3 linked regions of the Pelodiscus sinensis genome follow. The protein of the gene in region 2 interacts with the protein of the main gene of each other region in a pairwise test. Links are inferred from orthologs where the notes say so. Each region holds a gene or a part of one and is shown on either strand. Other genes may lie near its edges.

Region 1 (7,077 bases), on a different chromosome or scaffold from region 2:
GCACGGTGCCTCAGTTTCCCTAGCTGTAAAATGGTGATCATAATTCACACTTCACAGGGGTGTTTGGAGGATTGATTTATTAAAGACACGTTGAAAATATAAAGCAAAGAATATCTTTCTTAAAAAAAAAAAATCCAGGCCCCCTTTTCTGACTGTTTAAAACCTAGCAGTCACGTTTTACCCTGATCTCACACAGAAGCCAGCTGTTAAGGGTGACTTGATATTGTAATGACCAGTGGTTCTGCAATGAATGCCTATGCAGACCCAGGGACTTGACTTCAGTGGGACTCAGCACAGGAGTCTGCTTGTCCGGAGCTCACCTCGCTTTATTTGCACTGAAACCAGAACCTGGTGGAGCCATGGATGTTTTACAGCTCCAAATCAAGCAGAATCAGCCTGTCTATAACAGACGCTGCAGTTGCCTTCCCCAAAATCAGCAGATACTTTTCTTGGCCAGACCGAGGACTACTCTGGACTGCTCAGAGGACACCAGTCTAAGCCTGGGCAGAAAGGGAGGCGTTGCTGTGAGTCCATGAGGGTAGCAGAGACGAGTGGGGACAAGGACAGGAGAGAAGGGAAGGGGAGAGAGCCAGGCCCTGCAGGAAGCAGCTGCGGGCACAGAAGAGTTAATGCTACAGACTATAAAAGAGTTCTCATCTTTAAAGAGCACAGGGGCATGGGAAAATCAGGGCTGGCTTGAATCAGCAGCCTGAGCCATACACACCAGCTTTCCGCTCCATAACCAGGATGAGGTTAACACTCCCCCAACCCCTGATAAAATTCACAGCAGTCCCTATATTTATAAGTATGCAACATCCTCCTGCAGTGACGCAACCCAGTGACAAGAAGATGTGAACGTCACAGGGAGGAATGGGGCGTGGGAAGCAACAAATCTTAAAATCCAGCCTTGGCGAGAGCGAAATGAAGAGGGCAAAACAGGAAAAGAGGGTGGCTGCAGTTTAAAATGGGGGAGGGGATAATCCCGGTTATCTCCTCCTACTTCCACTGCACATTTTGTGGGGGGATAGCAGGGCACATGTCAGGAGTGTCCAGTAAGGTGCACAGCACTCACGGCAAGGTGGACAGCCCCATTTCCTGGATGGGGAAACTGAGGCCCAAAGGCAAAGCCACTCCCTCCCAAGGTCACACACGGAAGCAGGTCCAGGAAGAGATACCAGCGGTCCCCTGAGCACAAGCTGCTCTCCGAGATCTCTCGGGAGCTGATGGGGACAGGAGGCAGAGCCTGCTGATGAGCAGCAGGCCCAGGAGCAGCTAGGGTCACGCAGACTGGGGGGCGGGGGGGACTGTTTTCGCCCGCCCGCCTCGCTCCCTAGATCATTTCGGGAAGGAACACGGGGGACTTCACTGCACAATCTTCAGTGTCACGTCACCGCCCCACTCGGAAAAATAAAAAGGGCCGCGATGACTGGGGGGGGGGGGCAAAGGGGCGCAGATGTGAGACCTCAGGAACACCCCAGGCCTGCCCCCCCGCCGGGCTCGAGACTGAGGCCCCCACATGTGGTTGGGGGTTGAAACCTCCTATGGCAGCTCCTGCCGGGGAGGAAGGGGGGCTAGCCCCCCATGTCCCTTGCACGCTCCGTGCTCCGCGGGGCGTCCCGCCTGTTTCTGCCTCAGGCCCCGGGGCGGCGGCTGACACCGGAACAAGGGAGGTGATTCCCCCCAGCTGTTCGTTCGGGGCGGGGCTGCGCCCCCTGCGGGGAGCCCGATGGGGCGGGCGCGCGGGGGGGGTCCCTATGGGGCCCAGCCGGAGACTAGGCCGCAGCGCCCCCAGCCCATCTCCTGCCCGCTCCGCATCGAGGTGACCCCCCATTTCTCCGGGATAATGGCCCAGCGCCGCGGCGGCCCCCCCGGAAAGGAGAAGAGGCCAGGCTCTAGGGGGTCCCCCAATGGCCCTTCCCAATCGGAGGGGCCGGGAGCGCCCCCAGTTCAAGGCGGGGGGCAGAATAAGGGGGAAGATCACGAAAATGGGGGGCAGGGGGCCCCGATCCAGCCCTTCCTCCCAAAGCCCCCTCTGCACTGAGCCCCCGGAGGAAGCACCGGGGGTGGGTGGCAGTGTGAGGCGCCCCCCTTCCTGCCTGGGCCCCAGTTCAGACCGGCCAGCCCCTCGGTGGGGCGCCCGGGGGAGGGGGGCCCGGCGTTACCTGCTCCTCCTCCGGGCTCAGCTCTGCGGCCATCCTGCTGCCGCAGCTCCTCCCGCCTGCACACTGCTCCGGAGGCGGCTGCTTCGCTTCTGCGGAGTTTTTAAACCGGGGCTTCCAACCATCGACCAGCCTGAGTCAGCCCCGCAAGCCGGCCCCTGCCCCGCTCCTCCTGCCCACACCCCGCCGGGGCAGCGGCCTCCCGCGCCGCCCGGGGCCCCGCACACGCCCCGCTCAACTGGGGACGCGGCTTCCGAGCGCCCGGCGAGCGCCCATTAGCCGCCCTCGCAGCCGAGCGACACGCTTGGAGGGGGCAAGGCGGCCGAGCGATCCCTGCCCCCGCAGGCCGGGTGTGACTTGGAAGTTCAGTTTTGTCCCCTCTGAACCGGCCCCGATTCTTCTGGCTCCTTCGCAAACTCCGGGCTCCCTCCGGTCCCCCTCGCGGCTTTCTGCAGGCTACAGAAAATCGCACGCCCAAGAAGGGGGGGAAACACCCCGCTGTCCTGGAAGTTTCATCCCCCCCAGATCGGCTCGCAATCTCTCCCGGCTATGGCTTCAGCCGCCTCCGTTTTTCTTCTCTGCCTTTGCAAGATCCCCCTGCCCTTGCTTCCTGCACAGAGTTCGCCTGAGACCATCAAATCCCTGGCTTCAGCTGTATTTTCCTTTTAGAGAATGAAACTCCTTCCTGCAGCCTCCATCTCTCGCCTGTCTGCCTCGCAGCCCTTATTCCTCAAAAGCAGCGGAGAGGAAGGAAGGAAAGACACCCCGCCCCCCCTCCTCTCATGGCCAATGCTGCTTCCCCTGCTGAGCCAGCCAGAGCCCCCAGCAACTCCATTCAGAAACTGAATCTCATTCACAACAGCAGAGGACAGCCAGGGAGAGGGCTCTCACCCAGGGAGGGAGAGAGTTCTGCATAAGCCGAGGGGGGGGGGGGGGGGGGGAGGCTGAAAGAGGCATTCGTCCAAAGGAAGGAGAGAGAAACAGGAAACTATCCAGGGCAAGGGAGACAGAGGCAGGGCAGCAAACAAGGGAAAGAAAGAGGAATCTAGACAAGGGAGGGACAGCCACATCCAACAGAAAATATTGAGTCATCCCGGTTTAAGAGAATATTAGAGTCATCCTGCTGTTCTGTACCTGCAAACAGGCCCTTAGATCCCGAATTCCCGTAATTCAGTGGAGGCGTGAATCCTTTCCACACCTCCAAGTCTACCCAGAACATTATGGCTAGATAAAAACCTAGCATGGTTGCCCCCCACCTTTGTTCTTGTATGTGTTGTCACGTGCCTGGCGCACTGTGGGCACAGCTGTTTGCAAGAGCTAGCCCATGCATTCTAAGGCCACGAACACAGTCAGGGCCCTTGCAGGTCAATGGCAGCAAGATCTTCCTGAGGGGATCCAGTGGCAGGACTGGGACCCTGATAACAAGCAAAGATGGGCAGGAGGGGACTGTAACAGGATGCTTCAGTGATGAGCGCACGATAAGAATTTATAGTGAAGAGAACAAAAGACAAGTGTGCCTGGGGGGTACATTTGGCACCTCTTACCATTACAGACGCTTTCTTCAAGTAACCCCGGGGAGCAGAGGCGACTGGCGTAGGGCTGACAGGTCTCCTTGCCCTTCTCTGCCCAAGTCTTTTTTAATAAAGATATTCCCACTCTTGTTACTCCTGTGCAACTCTGTCTCAGCATTAGCCACTGCCGACAGACAGGATACTGGGCTACAAGGACCTTTGGTCTGACCCTGTATGGCCGTTCTTATGCGGGTTAAACAACAGTCCAGTAGCCACTGGTATTTTAAGTACCTTTTTGACTAAGCCAGAGCAAGTCTATGTGACAGGGTGGTTAAAATGGTAGCAGCTGCTGGAACCTTATCTACACTAGAGCACCCACCTTTCCTGCCACCCCAGGAGCTGAACAGATGTGTAAAAGTGCCTTTTGAGGAGGAGAGAATGGAAGGTCATGTCGTGAGAAACTAAAGAACTGCTGATCAGGAAAAATTCATGCAGGGCCCAAAGAGCTGGCTCATTTGATCTCAACTTCAGATCCCTGCTTTGTGGCTGTTTCCTGTAATCCGATCTAGATTTAACTAAAGTTTTAAAAGTAAAACTCCCTTTCTGTTTTCCTCATGTCCAAATTCTCCTCCAAAACGTACTGTCTTCTTTTTTCGAATGCCTTGCTGTGCACTCCAATACATTCCCATAGAGATAGGATTAGGGCAGATGACAGCAGTTCAAGATTTGACATGGCCCAGAGTCTGAGATCTGTGTCACATCCCTGCGAGATCACCCCGCCCCAGAGAGCTTCCACTATATTCAACTGCTATCAACTCCCACTCTGGTGTCTGGTCATTATGGAGACAATACTAATAGATAAACTATCTTATCCTTAAAAAGTATTGTGCTTATAAGAGCTTAGCTTTAGTTCTTTCCCATTGTTTACATTTATCTCTTCCCCTTTTCTATCACCCATGGTCCATTATCTTTACTTACTTTGTAAACTCTTTGGAGGCAGGGACCATCTTTTTGTTCTGTTTGTACAGCACCTAGCACAATGGAGTCTAATCCATGACTAAGGCTCCTGTGAGCTCTGACTGTACCAGTAAATAACACCTGCCTTGGGTGTTCAACTTCACAGAGCAGGGGCCTTGTCTTCTAAGTGTACAGTGCCTTGCCTACCGGTAGCCCTTAATTCATACTGTATACTACACTGATCTCTCCGGCACTAGAGATGCACCTGGCCAATTCCCTGACAGACCAGGATCCATAAAAGCTGTGGTCAGAGTTCAAACCATCCCCCTCACTGGAGCATGTTCTGATGGGAAGTGGTCACTGTTGTTATATATGAAATAAAAAGAAAAATTTACCTATTTGATTTCTATTTGATGGAGAGAAGCAAAGATCCACCTGGCTGGTTCACTTACACTGTGCTGCCGCACGGCTATGCACAAACAATATTCATCTCTAGAACGAGAGCGAGATGATGGATTCCCTTGGAGCGGAACCAGATCAGTAGTGAACTAGCTCAGCAACTGCAATTTTTTCCGTACCATTTCACCACGTCAGCCAGACAAGTTTCAGGTGCCATTTCCAGGGAAAGGATGGGTGCTCACCACCACTCCCCCGTATCCATGAACTAGTTCTACTTCCACCTCTACCAGTGGCATTTCAAAGTCTGGGTGGGCGGTTCCACTGACACAGCTGAACAGCAGCTGCTGCTAGTGGGGAGTGGAGCAACCTGGTGCTCCAGGGTTTTTAAAAAATGCTCCCAGGGCTTTGATCCAGAGCTCTTCAGGCCACAGGTGCTGCACACTGCCTCTGGGAGCATGTTTGGTTACTGCAGCAGGGCCTGCTGGTTCAGAAAGCTGGATCCCAACCAGTCTCAGTGGCGGGGGGAGGAGGGGAACATTTTGTTCTGCTGACAAGGGCTGCCCTGGCAACTTGCCTGCAACTGGAGAGTTTGTATTTAACTTGCAAGAAAATGGAGCAGAGTGCAGCTATCTCTATCTTTTCCATGGAGGCTGAAAATCCAGCTGGCTTATGGGGCTTTGAGGTGGGCTGTGAGCATAGGCCATATCTCCACACTAAAGGTGACCACACCTCTAGAAACCACCGGCCACGTTTGAGCTACTTTGTTCTATTGGGGGTTAGCAGTGAGTCCTTACAAGCTATCCCTATGCCCCCACCTATATGCTTGTACTGCCTCAGCAGGCTCCTGGCAGAGATTTACATGTCACTTGTGCATACAAGGAGCTGCAGGAGGGTGGTGTGCGCCCCAGGATCAGCATCGCCCCTAAAACTCTGAGCTATGGAACCAGAATGCTTTGCAGCCAGCCACTTTTGCTTAACAATTTCTCTCCCACCCCTTTCATTTTCTGCTCAGATTTATTCCTGGAGTCTGCTAATATTTTAAAGCAGAATCATGCAGCTGTATCTGCAAGAGATCCTTTACAATATAGAATGAAAGCTTCAGTTTCCCCCTGCTAGTAGAGGAAAAAGCCCCTTTCTTCCTACTGTATTTGACTCCCCTCTTTGCTGGACAGCCTTGGAAAGCTCTGTGAAGGAAGTATACAGACAGAAACCAGAGCGGCAGCTTTCCCTGAAGCAAGAGGCCAAGGATGCTTAGGCTTAGATTTGGATTCCTGGAGGATTAATTAAATTAGTGCTTTATTGCATCTGAAAAGTGCCCTGATTAGGGGCCCAGGCTTCCAAGGGGAATCCTGCATCAATTTCCTCCAAGCAGTTTAATTTTGACTTCAAAATCTGAGATTTGCAGAGCGCTACAGCAATATTTGTCATTTTACAAGATGAACCTGTCACTGGTTTAGGTCTTACAACACTTACTCCCTAACATACCATCTCCATCCCTCACTGAGCATAACTGTCAATATAACATAATAAAGAGTTCAAACCTGTGGGGAAGTGGGATATGGGGAAGAAACACGGAGGAAGGAGCAACAAAGGAGGACCCCTGATTCAAATGGAGAAGGTAGGGCAATCAACTGGTTATCTAAGGTGTATCTAAGGGTATCTACATGAATAGGAAACAGACAGAAAGAATTAGAAGCCCTGGCCCAGTCAAAGAACTGTGATTTGACTGGAATAATGGAGACTTGGTGGGATGACTCACATGACTGGAGCACCGCCATGGAAGGGTATAAACTGTTCAGGAAGAACAGGCGGGGGAGAAAAGGAGGAGGGGTTGCACTGTATGTAAGAGAGCAGTATGATTGCTCAGAGCTCCAGTAGATAGAGGAAGAAAAGCCTGAGAGTCTATGGGTTAAGTTTAGAGACAGAAGCAACAGGGGTGATGTTGTGGTAGGTGTCTGCTATATTCCACCGGATCAGGTGGATGAGGTAGACAAGGCTTTCTTCAGACAACTGAGAGAAGCTTCCAGATCACAGGCCCTGGTTCTCCTGGG
Region 2 (7,574 bases):
CATTGACTCCAGTTTGAATGACTATGCAGCATCTCAAACTGAGGCACAAGTCATTATGCATAAGCAGTTCACTGGGCAAACAGATGGCTTTAATCTCCAGAAGTGTTGCTATTTAAAAATCAAGACATCAAAGATTTTTTTAAATGTTGTTTGCAGTGGAATTTATAAAAAAAATGCAGTGCAAACAGTATCTAGAACAAAACCAAGTTCAGATACTACAGTTGTGATAAGATATACAAACTGCTGTAATAAACATTTAGTTTTGGGACATAGAAAAAAAGTCAGATAAAATGTGTTTTGCAGGCTACCCATGTTTTTACTATTAACACATTAATAAGCACTGAATTAGCTTAATTCTCCTGAATACAGATGGGTAAACTGAACTGAAGATTTGACACCCATCCACCTTCATTCCATGTTCTAACCTTGTAGTGTCCAACACGCTATCCACTAGCCACGTGTGGCTATTTGACTGGTTGAGTGTGGCTAGTTCGCTACAGCAGTAGCCACTATAATGGCTTCAGAACTGGTTGGACACCAAGGTTCTAATCACTAAACGACACCACTTCCCCAATAGCGGAAAACATGACTGTTACATGTGAGTCATATTACATCATTTTGGTATATCATCTTGCATATGTTTAATCTGAGCTTCAGGCAGACACTGGGCATAAATTAATCTTCTTGGGGAACAGAGTCCACACCTGATTCTAGAAGAAACATGACTCTGAACCCTTTTTGCCTTCTGATTACAAACTGTCTGTTAAACCACGGTGCCAATAGCTGTCAAGATGGCTCAACATTTATAGAACACTAGCTTATCTGGAGAATTTGAGGACAAAGGTTTGATTTCTAGGATAGCTGAGGTAATTCACAAACAATTGTGGTGAATCAGAGAATAAACAGTCCTCAAATACTGGGTGAAAGGGCTGCATTTCAGAGCAGACAGGGTGATGGATTAACCAATAATGATGAAGGCAAAGCACTAAATTGCTGAGTAATAACCTCCCTTTGCACCCCAGTTCTGGCACAAACTAAAACATCTGCAAGGAGGGGGTGGAAAAGCATCATGACACAAGGTTCCAGAAAGGCATACATTATACTCGCATGCTGTAAGGCTGAAGTGTGAAAGCATGCTGCCTCATCTTCCTTCGCTTGCATGTAACCACACAGACCTGTCCTGCTAAGAAGTAGGAAAGCCATTTCATCTCTGAAATTAGGCTTGTATGGCACTTCAAAAGGGTGTTGGGCTTTAAGACGAAAGATGGAAGCTGCTGTACAGCTCATGTGCTGGGATGAGCAGTTTCTACAGCCACCCCGGAAAATCAGCTTCTCAACCAAATGAATTCTATTTAGTGAGAAAAACATGCCAGCCTGGTACATTCCCACGCAGGAGACAGGCAATTTGGTAAACAAGTTAAAACAGAAGACCCATGAATTTTTAAAGCTAACAAATCATTTTTGCTCTGGATGCTTGTTGAAAAAGATGAAATTGTGTTTATCATTGTTATGGCTGTTATAAAAAGCGCTGCCCCTTTAAGAGCTGTCACCTGCCCAGTTTTTCCCCCCCTCCAAGAAGGCATCTGCAGTGCAGATCTTTGCAAGAGAAGCTAGCTTGCCAACACCGAGCCTGACAGGGATATAAAGAGAAGTAAAGCACAGCCTCTTATTTTGGACAGCTCCCCTTAAATGAAGGGGGGATTTAGCCACATACTGCTTTGTTTAATATGCTCTCCCTCCACCCCCACTCCAATTACTGAGCAGCAACATAACAAAAGGGAGCATTTGCAATTGCTACCACCCCCTCAAAAACACAGATCACTGCAAGCTTCCAGCAGTCCCCCACCGCTCTTCCACCTGCCCTGAGAAATGTTTGTGATGGTGAAAGGGATTTTTCTAGGAATTAAGGTATTTCCTCACTGCCATGTTTAGTATTGGAACAATGGAGGGTGTGTGTATATATATACACTGTACATCTTGCATCATCACCCATCCAGCCCTTGCAGAGGGGTGATCCAGTGGGTATTGTGCTCTCCTCAGCACACCCCCTGATTTTTGATAATTCCTACAGTTTTGGGCCTTAAGAAACAGAGACGGTAAAAGTCAGCCCAGACTGGGAGGCTCAGCAAGATCTGGGAGTGAACACCACTAAGGCAAAGGGAATCTGCTCTATCACCTCCCTTCAATTCAGACATTGTTCCCTGACCCAGTCCCCTTTTAGTTTGAACCATCACTGTCAAAATGAAACTAGAAAGTGCAACATAGTACATTCTGCAATCCTCACCACCCCAATCTGAGACCCCCACCTCAATCTTCTTCCAGCCACCAAAACTCACCCTGCTCTAAAAATCACACCTTTTACTTTACAAAATCCACCCTACCTAGCCCGAGTCTATACCCCACCACAGTTCTCTCCCCATGAGCCAAATTCCTGCCACCCTTGCACTTCAAAGCCCCTAACTATCCCCCAGTGATAGCAAGCCTGTAGCAAAGCTTCCCATGCCCCAACCTCGATCCAACCTTCAGCCCAAGTCCCCCTTACTCAAAATCTCAGCCCCCACTCACGCGCCAAACCCAAACTGCTCCCAGCTCCCCCCCCCACTCCTTTAGCCCAGCCTCCACCCCCAGTTACTTCCCTCTTTCGCCGCCCCCGCCGGCTGTTCCCTTCTCCCACCCTCAGGCTCCCCCCCCACACTCCCGTGCCCACGTTCCCCGCCCCCCAGCTGTCACCAGGCTGTGCCTCGCAAGCACCATGGGCTGTGCCCACCACTCACACGGCTGTTCCCCCTCCCCCCACCCCAGCTGTTCCCAGATACTCCACAGGCTGTTCCTCCCACTCGTCGCCCCCAGCCCGCTGCCCGGCTGTTCCCTGCCCCTCCCCCCGGCTCTTACCGGCACAGGACTGGGAGCTGGTTCCCTTACAGTCGCGGCCGCCCGCGGGCATCGGGGCGGTACCCGGCTCTGAGGAGCCCCCTCCGGCGGAGGAGGAGATATACGGCGACTGGGTGGCGGGGTCGGCCATCTTCGCGACAGCAACGGGAGCCTAGCACTAAACGTCCGTCCCTCACGGCGGGAAGATACCGAGTAGACTGACACCGCGCAACCGAGCTCGGCTGTCCTAGCTAGGACGGATTGCAGGATAGCAACTGCGCATGCGCCATGGGGGAGGGCCGAGAAGAAGGCGTACCCCGCGCAAGCGCTTGTAGCTAGAGGCTGGACGGTTGAGCACCAGGCGTGAGCCACTGGAACAGAGAGGCGCTCGCAACGCGCAGGCGTCAACGGACGCCAGGTATTCACTACGCCTTCTGAGTTTTAGGGTTTGAGGTTGCTTATTACGCATGCGCCAAATGTGGGCAAGGGCGGAGTGGGCTCCCCTTTTACGCATGCGCAATAGATCCGATTAACATATGTGCTTTAGGCTCCAGAAAACCAGACTAGGGCGGGTGACGCCCTGCTGAGTCGAGACCGGGCGGCTGCTGAATTGATTCTTTGGTTCGAGTTTAATGGGAAAGGAGAATTTGTCTTTCATTTATTCCCCTTCAGCCTTTCTCGTATTTTCTCTCCTCCCCTTTCTTATTTCATCCGTTTGCCTTTTGTCACTTTCCTTTTCTTTATTTTCCCATTCTCTCTTTTTGCTGTTTTTTCTCTTTTCTCGCAAATCAAAAAGACATTTAAATCCATTTCCTTTCAAACCAGCCCTTCCCGAGACCTATGGGGCTGGGACTTAACTCCCCACTGAGGAGTACAGGGTTGCTCCCCTGAGTGACTGTCAGGCAGGTATGGCTGCCTTGGTCATGTACGAGGTCATGGTAGCAGCTCCCTGTGCTTTGAGCTATTGCCTCAGGCTCTCTGCAGATGCAGGCAGCATTAGTTACAGCTGAATTATCCTTTCAAACTTTTCTCCACAACCACAGAAGCTGGAAACTTCCTTTGTTTTATAAATGGAAACTGAGCTTTTGATGCAGTCATGACTCCAAAAGCTGGCATCCAACATGTGCCAACAGCCCTGCATGGCTGCACCAGAGCTGCACTCATTCCAGGGATTTGCTGTGGCTCTGGTTGGAGCTATCTATGCTTTGCTGTCTATTGGTGTAGTTAAGATAACATCTTTTGTTTCCTTATCAGAGTGATTTTACCTTTCCGTTCTCTGGTTAAGCAATTGGATCATTGCATGCCTCACAGGACAAGATTGTCCGTGCCTTTTAGGGCAAAATGGAAGAGACTGTAGTTCAGATATTTGAATATATGGCGTTTCTGATGTATCAGCAGAAACTAAACAGTTGCTAATGTATATTTGCTTTCAAACGTATTCCCATCAGAGCTGTTTCTCTTCCTGAGTGCCTATTGGAGGGAATCTTTGTTTCCACATACAGGAATACTGCAGCATTATCTAAGAGGTAGGATCAGAACAGGGAGTGGCTTCTAGTCAGGTTGGGAACAACTGGGAATCAGGACTCCTGGGTTCTTTTCCAAGCAAAGTGTAATAAAATGTGGGGGCTCTTCAACCAGCTTCTTTCTACACTGTGTTTAAGAAACAGCATTGCTTATTGAACCCCCTCTCGTGCAGCATGGGGCCAGTCTGGCGTGTGAGTGAAGAGTGCCCCCTACTGAGTTACTCACTTTGCAGCACAGTGCCCTCCCCCACCCCCATCGTGTTGCATAGGGACACTAAAGTGAGTACTGACTGAACACTGAGTAAGCCCTGCTAGCAGCACAGATGCCACAAGTAAAATTGCTTGGAAACTGATGAAACTTTTAGGCATTTTGTAAAAAATGAGTTATTAATAAAAGTTGTGTAACCCACAGACCTAGGGCTCATCTACACTGGCCCCTTTTCCGGAAGGGGCATGTTAATTTCAACTATCGTAGTAGGAGGGAAATCCGCGGGGGATTTAAATATCCCCCGCGGCATTTAAATAAAAATGTCCGCCGCTTTTTTCCGGCTTTTAGAAAAGCCGGAAAAGAGCGTCTACATTGGCCCCGATCCTCCGGAAAAAGCGCCCTTTTCCGGAGGCTCTTATTCCTACTTCAAAGTAGGAATAAGAGCCTCCGGAAAAGTAGGAATAAGAGCCTCCGGAAAAGGGCGCTTTTTCCGGAGGATCGGGGCCAGTGTAGACGCTCTTTTCCGGCTTTTCTAAAAGCCGGAAAAAAGCGGCGGACATTTTTATTTAAATGCCGCGGGGGATATTTAAATCCCCCGCGGATTTCCCTCCTACTACGATAGTTGAAATTAACATGCCCCTTCCGGAAAAGGGGCCAGTGTAGACGTAGCCCTAGTGTGGTATACTGTTCCATGCAGTGGCACCTAGACCACAGCAACAGATAAGAACAAGAGGGCTACGTCTACACTGGCCCCTTTTTCGAAAGGGACATGCTAATTTTAAACTTCGGAATAGGGAAATCCGCTGGGGATTTAAATATCCCCCGCGGGATTTAAATAAAGATGTCCGCCGCTTTTTTCCGGCTTGGGGAAAAGCCGGAAAAAAGCGTCTAGACTGGCCCGATCCTCCGGAATAAAGCCCTATTCCGGAGGAGCTCTTATTCCTACTTCGAAGTAGGAATAAGAGCTCCTCCGGAATAGGGCTTTATTCCGGAGGATCGGGCCAGTCTAGACGCTTTTTTCCGGCTTTTCCCCAAGCCGGAAAAAAGCGGCGGACATCTTTATTTAAATCCCGCGGGGGATATTTAAATCCCCCGCGGATTTCCCTATTCCGAAGTTTAAAATTAGCATGCCCCTTTCGAAAAAGGGGCCAGTGTAGACGTAGCCGAGGCCTCTACAGCAGGCATGTCAAACTCGATGTAAATGAAAACTGATAGCTTTCAGGGCCACATTGTTTGACCAAAAAAGAAAAAAATTGGTTGAGGAAAAACAAACAAACCCATTTTAGGTGCCAGGCAGAAGGCACAAATACTGGACACCTGGCAACCATAGGGCTTTTGACAGTCATAATTATTTATTATTCTAGATTGTTTTAGTTATTTTATAATATTGCAATAATTTGATGTATAAAATTATTTGCTCATTAATTTTAAAATTAATTTTACATATTTTTTAATTTAAATATAAATTTAAGTACTTTTAAATGTTGAATATGCTGGAGAGCCCAGTGCAGAGTTGCCAGCCGGCCATACGTGCATGCGTGGTGCAGCCCAGCCCGCCGTGAGAAGTTGCTGTAGCGTAGTGTCCCGGCCAACTGTGAGCAGGCACTTGGCCACATGCTCTGAGCGGCCAGTGGGCTGCACTTCATTCTTTTATAAAAATGTAGTGGGGGGGCTGCAAAAAATTTCGATCAGGCTGCATGCAGCCCCCTAAATGCCAGTTTGACATGCCTGCTCTACAGCATGGGCTAAAAGTCAGCTGGCTTTTAGCTCACAGGGTAGAGGCTCCTATATTAAGCTTTAGACATCCCAGGTTCAAGTCTACCTTGTGTTGGGGCCTGTAGGTACTACTGGAATACATTAATAACAACAACAATACATGTGTAAAGGCCTGCCCACCTGCTGTGCATGACTCCTCTTCTACAGCCAGCCCACAAAGTTCCTTCCTTTTTGCTGTCAGTTCCAGGACTCAGTCTCATACCTTGGGACTCTTCCTCAGAAGCCAGGAAGCAAGTTTAACTACAGCATTTGAAGGAACTGTTTAGAATAGCTGCAAGAGAGCTGCAGTGAATGGAGCTATGGGAAGAAGCCACATGTACAGGCAAAGATAATGCACTGGCTAGAAGAAAGGCGCAAAGCCCAGCTAGAAGCATTGTGAGCAAAGGCAATGCACAGGTTGCAGGGAAGGGCCAGGCAGGGCTCATCTGTCTTTGTGGAAGATGCACCATTCATACAGAGCCCTATATGCAAAGCTCTGCCAGTGCTCTGTAATCAGTCAGGGCTCCTGCCTTGGACTCCCAGGAGCCAACCACTATCTCTTACTCTCGCAAGCCTGGGCATTATCCCAGGCTCTGCTCTGAGAATGCTTTGGGTGGCGTGGGGCCCAGAGCAGCCAGGTCCGCGGTTACTCTCCCAAGGAGGCTGCCGAGAGACATAGTCCTGGACAATAGAGCTACCCAAAGAGAGGCTCCCCGTGTAGCGAGGGCGCCCGCCCGGATGGTTGCTGGAATTTGTAGTCCTCTGACGCCATAGTTCGTTGAAATGGGTTCGTACCAGATGGGATGGCAAAGGGACTACATTTCCCGGCATGCCTCTCGGGGACGGTCGGCTCTCTGCCTTCTCCCTCCCTCCTGGCGATAGCCCCGCCCATCCCATCCTGGCCCCGCGGCGCGGGCGGGGGGGGTCGAGGAGGAGGCGGCTCCATGTTGATCCCTGCACGGTGGCGGCAGCAGCGAACGGTGTCAAGCTGGAGGCGGCCGGTAATGGGGTCCCCTCCCCCCTCCCGGGCAGCCTGGGCCCATCGGTGGAGAAGGGGGTATTAGGATCTCCTGTGGTGGGGGAGTCCCCGGTGGAGAAGGCGGGCGGGCCCTGGGGTCTGTGGAGCTGGAGTTCCCTATGGGGGGGGAATAGGCATTCCCCACGCACAGAGGGAGGCATGGGGTCCCGAGGGAGGTGCAGTCCCATAGACAGAAAGG
Region 3 (6,879 bases), on a different chromosome or scaffold from region 2:
TCCCTATACTACATATTAAACATGGTTTTGTTGGACCTAGATTTGGTGTTCTTTGAGATTTCACATTGTATTGTCAAAATTAGGGTCCTACCAAATTCATAATTCACTTTGGTCGATTTCTCAGTCATAGGTTTTAAAAATGATAAATTTCATTATTTCAAAATCTGAAATTTTGCATTATTGTAATTGTAGGGGTCCTGACACAAAAAGGAGTTTTGTGGGGTCCCAATGTTATTTTATTGGGGTTGCAGTATTGTTATCCTTACTTCTGTGCAGCTGCTGGCAGCAGCACTGCCTTCAGAACTGGGCAGCTGGACTAGGTCTACACTGCGGAGCTATTTCGGGATACTAAAAGTATCCCAAAATAGCTATTTTGCATCTAGTGAAGCAGCCCATTACTTGTAAATAGATTTTGAAATAATGGGTGGCTTATTCTGACGTCCTGATAACCCTCGTTCTACAAGGATTAAGGGGAATTTTGAAATAAGCTATTTCGAGTTAAGGGCACAGTGTATATACACCCCTGAAGAGCAGTGGCTGCTGGCCAGAAATCCATCCCTGAAGGCATATCTACTGCCAGAAGCAGCGCAGAAATAACAGTGACATTATATGGTATTGCCACCCTTGTTCTTTTACAGCTACCCGCAGAGCTAGGTCCTTAGTCAGCAGTTGTCACTCTCTGGCACCCAGCTCTAAAATCAGCAAGGTTGCAGGAATTATAAATGAGGTCCTACCAGGTTTTGGAACATATAGAAAAACTTAACAACAAATCACCGGGACTGGATGGCATTTATCCAAGGGTTTTAAAAGAACTCAAATGGGAAACTGTACAACTATTATCTGTGGTTTGTAACCAATCCTTTAAATCGGCTTCTGTATCTAATTACTGGAAGATAACTAACGTGACACCAATATTTAAAAAGGGCTTTAGAGGCGATCCTGGCAATTACAGACTGGTAAGTCTAACTTCATTACCAGGTAAATTAGTCGAAACAATAGTAACGAATAAAATTGTCAGGCATGTAGAAGAAAATAAGTTGTTGGACAAAAGTCAACATGGTTTCTGTAAAGGGAAATCATGTCTTACTAATCTATTAGAGTTCTTTGAAGAAGTTAACAAACATGCAGACAAGGGGGATCCAACAGATATAGTATACTTAGGTTTTCAGAAAGCCTTTGACAAGGTCCCTCACCAAAGGCTCTTGTGTAAATTACATTGTCATGGGATAAGAGGGAAGGTCCTTTCATGGATTGAGAACTGGTTAAAAGACAGGAAACAAAGGGTAGGAATAAATGGTAAATTTTCAGAATGGAGAGGGGTAACTAGTGGCATCCCCCATAGGTCAGTCCTGGGACCTATCGTGTTCAACTTATTCATAAATTATCTGAAAAAAGGGGTAATCAGCGAGGTGGTAAAGTTGCTGATGATACTAAACTGTTTAAGATAGTCAAGACAGAAGCAGACTGTGAAGAACTTCAAAAAGATCTCACCAAACTGAGTGATTGAGCAACAAAATGGCAAATGAAATTTAATGTGGATAAGTGTAAAGTAATGCACGTTGGAAAAAAAACCCCCAAATATACGTACAGTATGATGGGGGCTAATTTGGCTACGATAAATCAGGAAAGAGATCTTGGAGTTACCGTGGATAGTTCTCTGAAAACTTCCACACAGTGTGCAGCGGCGGTCAAAAAGGCAAATAGGATGTAAGGAATTATTAAGAAAGGGATAGAAAATAAGACACAGAATATCTTACTACCCCTGTATAAAATTATGGTACGCCCACATCTTGAATACTGTGTACAGATGTGGTCTCCTCACTTCAAAAAAGATATTTTGGCCTTGGAAAGGGTTCAGAAAAGGGCAATTAAAATGATTAGGGGTTTGGAACGGGTCCCATATGAAGAGAGGCTAAAGCGACTTTTCAGTTTAGAAAAGAGGAGACTGAGGGGGGAATAGGATAGAGGTATATAAAATCATGAGTGGTGTGGAGAAGGCGAATAAAGAAAAATTATTTATTAGTTTCCATAATAGAAGAACTAGAGGACACCAAATGAAATTAATGGGTAGCAGGTTTAAAACTAATACAAGAAAGTTCTTCTTCACACAGCGCATAGTCAACCTGTGGAACTCCTTGCCAGAGGAGGCTGTGAAGGCTAGGACTATAACAGAGTTTAAAGAGAAGCTAGATAATTTTCTGGAGGTTAGGTTCATAAAAGGCTATTAGCCAGGGGATAGAAATGGTGTCCCTGGCTTCTGTTTGTCAGAGGCTAAAGATGGATGGCAGGAGACAAATGGCTTGATCATTGTCTTCGGTCCACCCCCTCTGGGGCACCTGGCGCTGGCCACTGTCAGCAGACAGACTTCTGGGCTAGATGTACCTTTGGTCTGACCCAGTACAGCCATTCTTATGTAATGCCACTGACCAGCATTAAAACCACCCCTCTCCAGTTACCCAGCTCCGAAGGCAGTGCAGAAGTAAAGGTGGAAATAACATGACCCTCCTAAAATAGCCTTATGAGTCCTCTGCAACATCATTTTAGGTCAGGACCCACAATTTGAGAAACACTGGTCTCCCGGGTAAAAGCATGGCTGTGAGTTTGGTAGGACCCTATTTATAATTCCTGCAACCAGCGGTCACAGAACCATACTGCACTATGCAGGCCTTCTGACTCAGGTCTGCTGCTTGTCCTGCATACGTACTACAACATAAGATTGTCACAAAGATTCGGACAAGATTTGACTTGAACCAGAGCCACAGCACAACTTGAACTCTAACACTTCCCCCTCCCTGACCCAGGATCCTAGGACTTGGATTATGAATGCTTGCTAATTTGAATCTAATTGTTATGTGTGTGGATGGAAGAGGGGCAGCATTTGGCCTGTCCACACTAGACAGCTTACAGCAGCACATCTGTACTGATGCAGCTGCACTGCTATAAAATCTCCTATGCAGCCACATAAGAAAGAGCTTTTGTGGGCATAACTGGACCACTCTCAAAAAGGGATGGGAGCTATATCAGCAGGAGAGCATCTATCAGCCTTGCCCGGGTGGGGGTCACACAGCCCATCCAACTGAGATGAGTTTTAAGAACAAAAGTATTAGTGTAGACATAGTGCAGTGCAGACATGCCCTGACATGCCTGCAGGACATCTATCAGTCACACACAGTGCAGAAAGGATTTCTTTCACAGGCCAGAGGTTAACACACTTCCTTTGAGAAGAGCAAGGAACAAAGCAGTGAATGCCCTTTCGCCTCGCACCTACTGCCCGAAATCTCCTGCTTTGGGTCTGGGGCGCAGGGTGGTCTGGCTACCGATGGTTTCCCTCCCAGTGCCAGCAGCTCCTCAGTGACGCGAGTGAGCCCAGCCCCCCGGTGCCGACCCCACGGACGGAGGACGCTGCGGCTCGGCGCGGCCTGGGTTACCTGCGGACGGGCAAACGCATCACTTCGAGCTACCCCTGCTCTGTCGCAACGCAACACACCACCGCGGCTCTCAACTTCCCTGCCCGCTCCCGCCGCTTCCTGTCGTCTCATTGCCCCAGCCACGCCTCCACCTTGTTTAAAGGGGCCGTTTGTAACGGGAGAAAACACCGAACGTCTTCCCCAAGGGCCACACTGGGGCAGGGGGAACAGCCGCACGCGGGGGGTGGGCGATCGCCTCCTTGCCCAAGCTGGGAGGAGGAACCGTTCCCGCTCGCAACAGAGGAGCTAGAGGGAAGAGCAGGTGACAGGTCAGACATAGACCAGCCTCCCCACTACTGCCTTCACCGAAGCGGAACCGCGGCTAAGCTTTTGGGCGGGCACTGGGGAAAAGATGGGGGGAGGGGTGAGAGGCCGTAATTAGGAGACACACATACAACCCACCTAAAATGGCCGTTCTTAACTTTTGAATCAAGGGTGGCGGCCCTGCCCCCTCTCACTAGACTACAATTCCCAAGTTCCACCCCCCCCCCATTCCCAGCCTCCCAGGATGCATCACACCATCACGCTTCCTGCCCCTCCCTCCAGACTACAATTCCCAGCAAGCAATGCGCTCCCCCTGCCAAGTGGGGTTGGGGGGAGTTGGTAAATAGTGGCAGAGAGCGAGTTCCTAGAGTAAGATGGCGGCGGCAGCGGTAGCTGCGGTGGCGCTTTGAGTGGCAGTGGACACTACCCCTCGCGCTGTGGCTCTTACTGTGGGTCGGGGCAGCGGCGCTGCACTGAGGGCAGAGGCGAGGAGTCGAGTATCGGAGCTGCGGCCCCGGCAGCTGCAAAGAGGCCAGGCGCGGGTAGCGCCACCCCGGGAGCCGAGAGGTGTCGCCCAGGTAGAGCCCCCCCGGCCGTCGCTCCCGTCCCCAAGGCAGGAGGAGGCTGCTGTGGGCGGGGGCCGCTCGCTGTTTCCCTGCTCGACGGTGGCTGCAGGCGGCGCCTCCATGTCGGACAACCAGAGCTGGAATTCCTCCGGCTCCGAGGAGGATCCCGAAACCGAGTCCGGGCCGCCTGTTGAGCTCTGCGGGGTCCTCAGCAAGGTGAGCAACAGCAGCCCCTTTCCTCGGGGGGACTCGGAGTCTGCTCTTTCCCCGGGCGGCTGGGGCCGCGCGCACCCCCGCGCTACCCTGCAGAATTGGGCTAGGCTCCCGTCTCGCTGGCAGTTACCCGTGTGGAGGGGCAGCCCCGCACCCCTTCGCCCACCCCGCGGAGACACGGGGCTGGCTTGGCTGGGGCAGCGGCCACCTGACCTAAGAAAGCCTGAAAATGAGTCATTCCCCGGCAAACACCCACTCCCAGACCGCGGGCGGGGCTGTAACGGCCCACACATCCCGCGAGGGCGTCCCCTCCGGCCCTCCCTGCTGCCAGCGCAGCCCCCGCAGTTCTCCATCTCTCTCCTGCCGCTGTCAGTGCTCTCCTTCCCGTAAGCTAGGCGAGGCGGGGAGCCCCGCGGACAGGGTGTGCAGACTGTCTTAAAATCCATCCTGCAGACCGATGGGGGGTGCTCTCATAGTCCCCTTTCCCTTCTTAAATGGGTAGGCGTACTCTGCATGAATGAGTGTTCCCTTGTCTCCTCTTTCTTGATCCCCCAACTTGGCACCCCATCCCCTGACTCACCCTCCGCAAGCGTACATTTTGGGACCGCAGGCTTGTAACTAGACTGATGTAGAAGGTGAGCAGGGGCAGTGAGGGCATCTCTATTCATCAGGTTTTTGTCTGGAACCTGGCAATCCTATCCTAGCTAGTGTGCGTTACAAGCTAGTTTGGAAGGATAGCTGTGATGACTAGGATTGGACTCCAGCACTGAATCTGTATAGGGAGGAGAGAGAGTTCTTGGGGGTCACGAAGGAAACACTTTTTTTTCTTGCGAAGACTTTTTGCAGGAAATAGCAGCATGTGATGTGCCCTTACAAATCACTTCTAATCAATAGGAATACGTCAAAGAGGAGTGGCATGGCCTTTAATCCCGGCATTAAAACAGTGTAATAAAATACCCTTGCAGCAAGAGAACGGAGTAAAGAGGTGAAAAAGGAAAAATTGTATGGATTATTGCTTTTAAAAATTGTGGTGCTTATGCTTATCTGTGTAGGAATTAAATCTATTTTTACTCTTTTATTGCTGTGAATTTGATAAAAATGAATTGTGAGATATCGGGTTAGGGAATTAAGTTTTAAATAATGTTTTAAAGACTAAATGTTTTAATTGAACAATTTCAGTAGAAGAAAGTAGCTTCTCAATATATACTTAATGCCAAGAGAATTTAAATATTTTTGCATATCTCTCTATATTCAGAGGGGTTAAGGCAGAACTGAGTGGATGGGTCATGGGATATGGAGATCATGAGCAGCTCTGGATCATGAGTAGGGAAAACATGTGGGCTATATCCAGCCCTTCAGGGCTTTTAATCTGGCTTTCAGGATTATCAGTCTGGCAGTGCCGTGGGACTAAGGCAGGCTACTCCTGCCTTGGCCTGTGTCACTCCACAGAAGTGTTCGGCATATCCCTGCAACCCCATGGGCTTGGGGGTTCTACATGCTGTCCTCATCAGCAGGCACCATTCCCCCAGCTCCCATTGGCCAGGAATGGGGAACCATGGTTTATAGCTGTTGTGGAGACAGTGACAGCAGGCAAGGGTAGCTCATGGGGCCACCCGTTTTCCGCCCCCTCCCCCCAGGAGCCAACTACCTTAGGAGCAGAATGGGGCCAGGACAGGGTGGGAGCCTGCTTTGGCACTGCTGACCAGGAACTGCCCAAAGTAAGTGGTGCTTGGCTGGAGCCTGCACCTTTAGCCCTCTATTTCAGTCCCTGTCCTGAACTCCTGTCCTGAGCCCCCATCCCTGACCTAGCCTTACATTTATGGCCCACCATACAATTTCCCTAGAGCCTCAAAGTTTGCCCAGTACTTGATACTGAAAAAGTTATGTTACTATGTTTTTGTGAGGGAGTGAGACTCTGTTTATGAACTCTCCAATTAAAAAATATTTCTAAGATCATAGATGAGAGAAGTGCTGAGGAGAGGAAGCAGGCCTTGGCACTGATCTTCAGGATTTCATGTTTGATGCTGTGGAGGGGACAGGAAATATGTTTTTACATGATTCGGCTCAGAAATGTTGGGTTTATTACCCAAGATTTCTGCAACGTTATCTCCCTATTAGATGATTCAGATCATTAAGTAGAAAATCTGGTATTTGTTTCTAGTAGTATGCCATCAGTTTTAATATTGGCAAATGAAATGAATAAGAATTATATTCTAGGTCCTAATGATAAATTATCACGTATGTTAAATCCTAAAGAATTTCCCATACAAATGTGTCATCTTATAAATGCACTGTGTGCAATCTTTAGAGATATGTATGTAGTGCTTATACTCATATGATAGCTGTTGCCTTTACTGTTAGCGTCCAAG

Evidence for each region. The genes of interacting proteins can lie anywhere in the genome.
Region 1: the proteins of RTN3 (region 2) and PTPN9 interact in binary tests that used the Homo sapiens proteins (3 or more experiments, as listed by UniProt). The two-hybrid records come from large-scale screens. The link is inferred for Pelodiscus sinensis from reciprocal best matches to the Homo sapiens genes RTN3 and PTPN9.
Region 3: the proteins of RTN3 (region 2) and CERT1 interact in binary tests that used the Homo sapiens proteins (3 or more experiments, as listed by UniProt). The link is inferred for Pelodiscus sinensis from reciprocal best matches to the Homo sapiens genes RTN3 and CERT1.

The regions. Positions count from the first base shown.
Region 1 is NC_134724.1:34,422,651-34,429,727, reverse strand, and holds the start of PTPN9 (tyrosine-protein phosphatase non-receptor type 9), read right to left. Parts: upstream 3,017-7,077; 5' UTR 2,196-3,016; coding exon 2,163-2,195; intron 1-2,162. UniProt on the Homo sapiens protein: Protein-tyrosine phosphatase that could participate in the transfer of hydrophobic ligands or in functions of the Golgi apparatus.
Region 2 is NC_134721.1:33,994,032-34,001,605, forward strand, and holds the start of RTN3 (reticulon-3), read right to left. Parts: upstream 3,025-7,574; 5' UTR 3,023-3,024; coding exon 2,893-3,022; intron 1-2,892. UniProt on the Homo sapiens protein: May be involved in membrane trafficking in the early secretory pathway. Inhibits BACE1 activity and amyloid precursor protein processing. May induce caspase-8 cascade and apoptosis.
Region 3 is NC_134716.1:84,591,285-84,598,163, reverse strand, and holds the start of CERT1 (ceramide transfer protein), read left to right. Parts: upstream 1-3,863; 5' UTR 3,864-4,417; coding exon 4,418-4,513; intron 4,514-6,879. UniProt on the Homo sapiens protein: Shelters ceramides and diacylglycerol lipids inside its START domain and mediates the intracellular trafficking of ceramides and diacylglycerol lipids in a non-vesicular manner.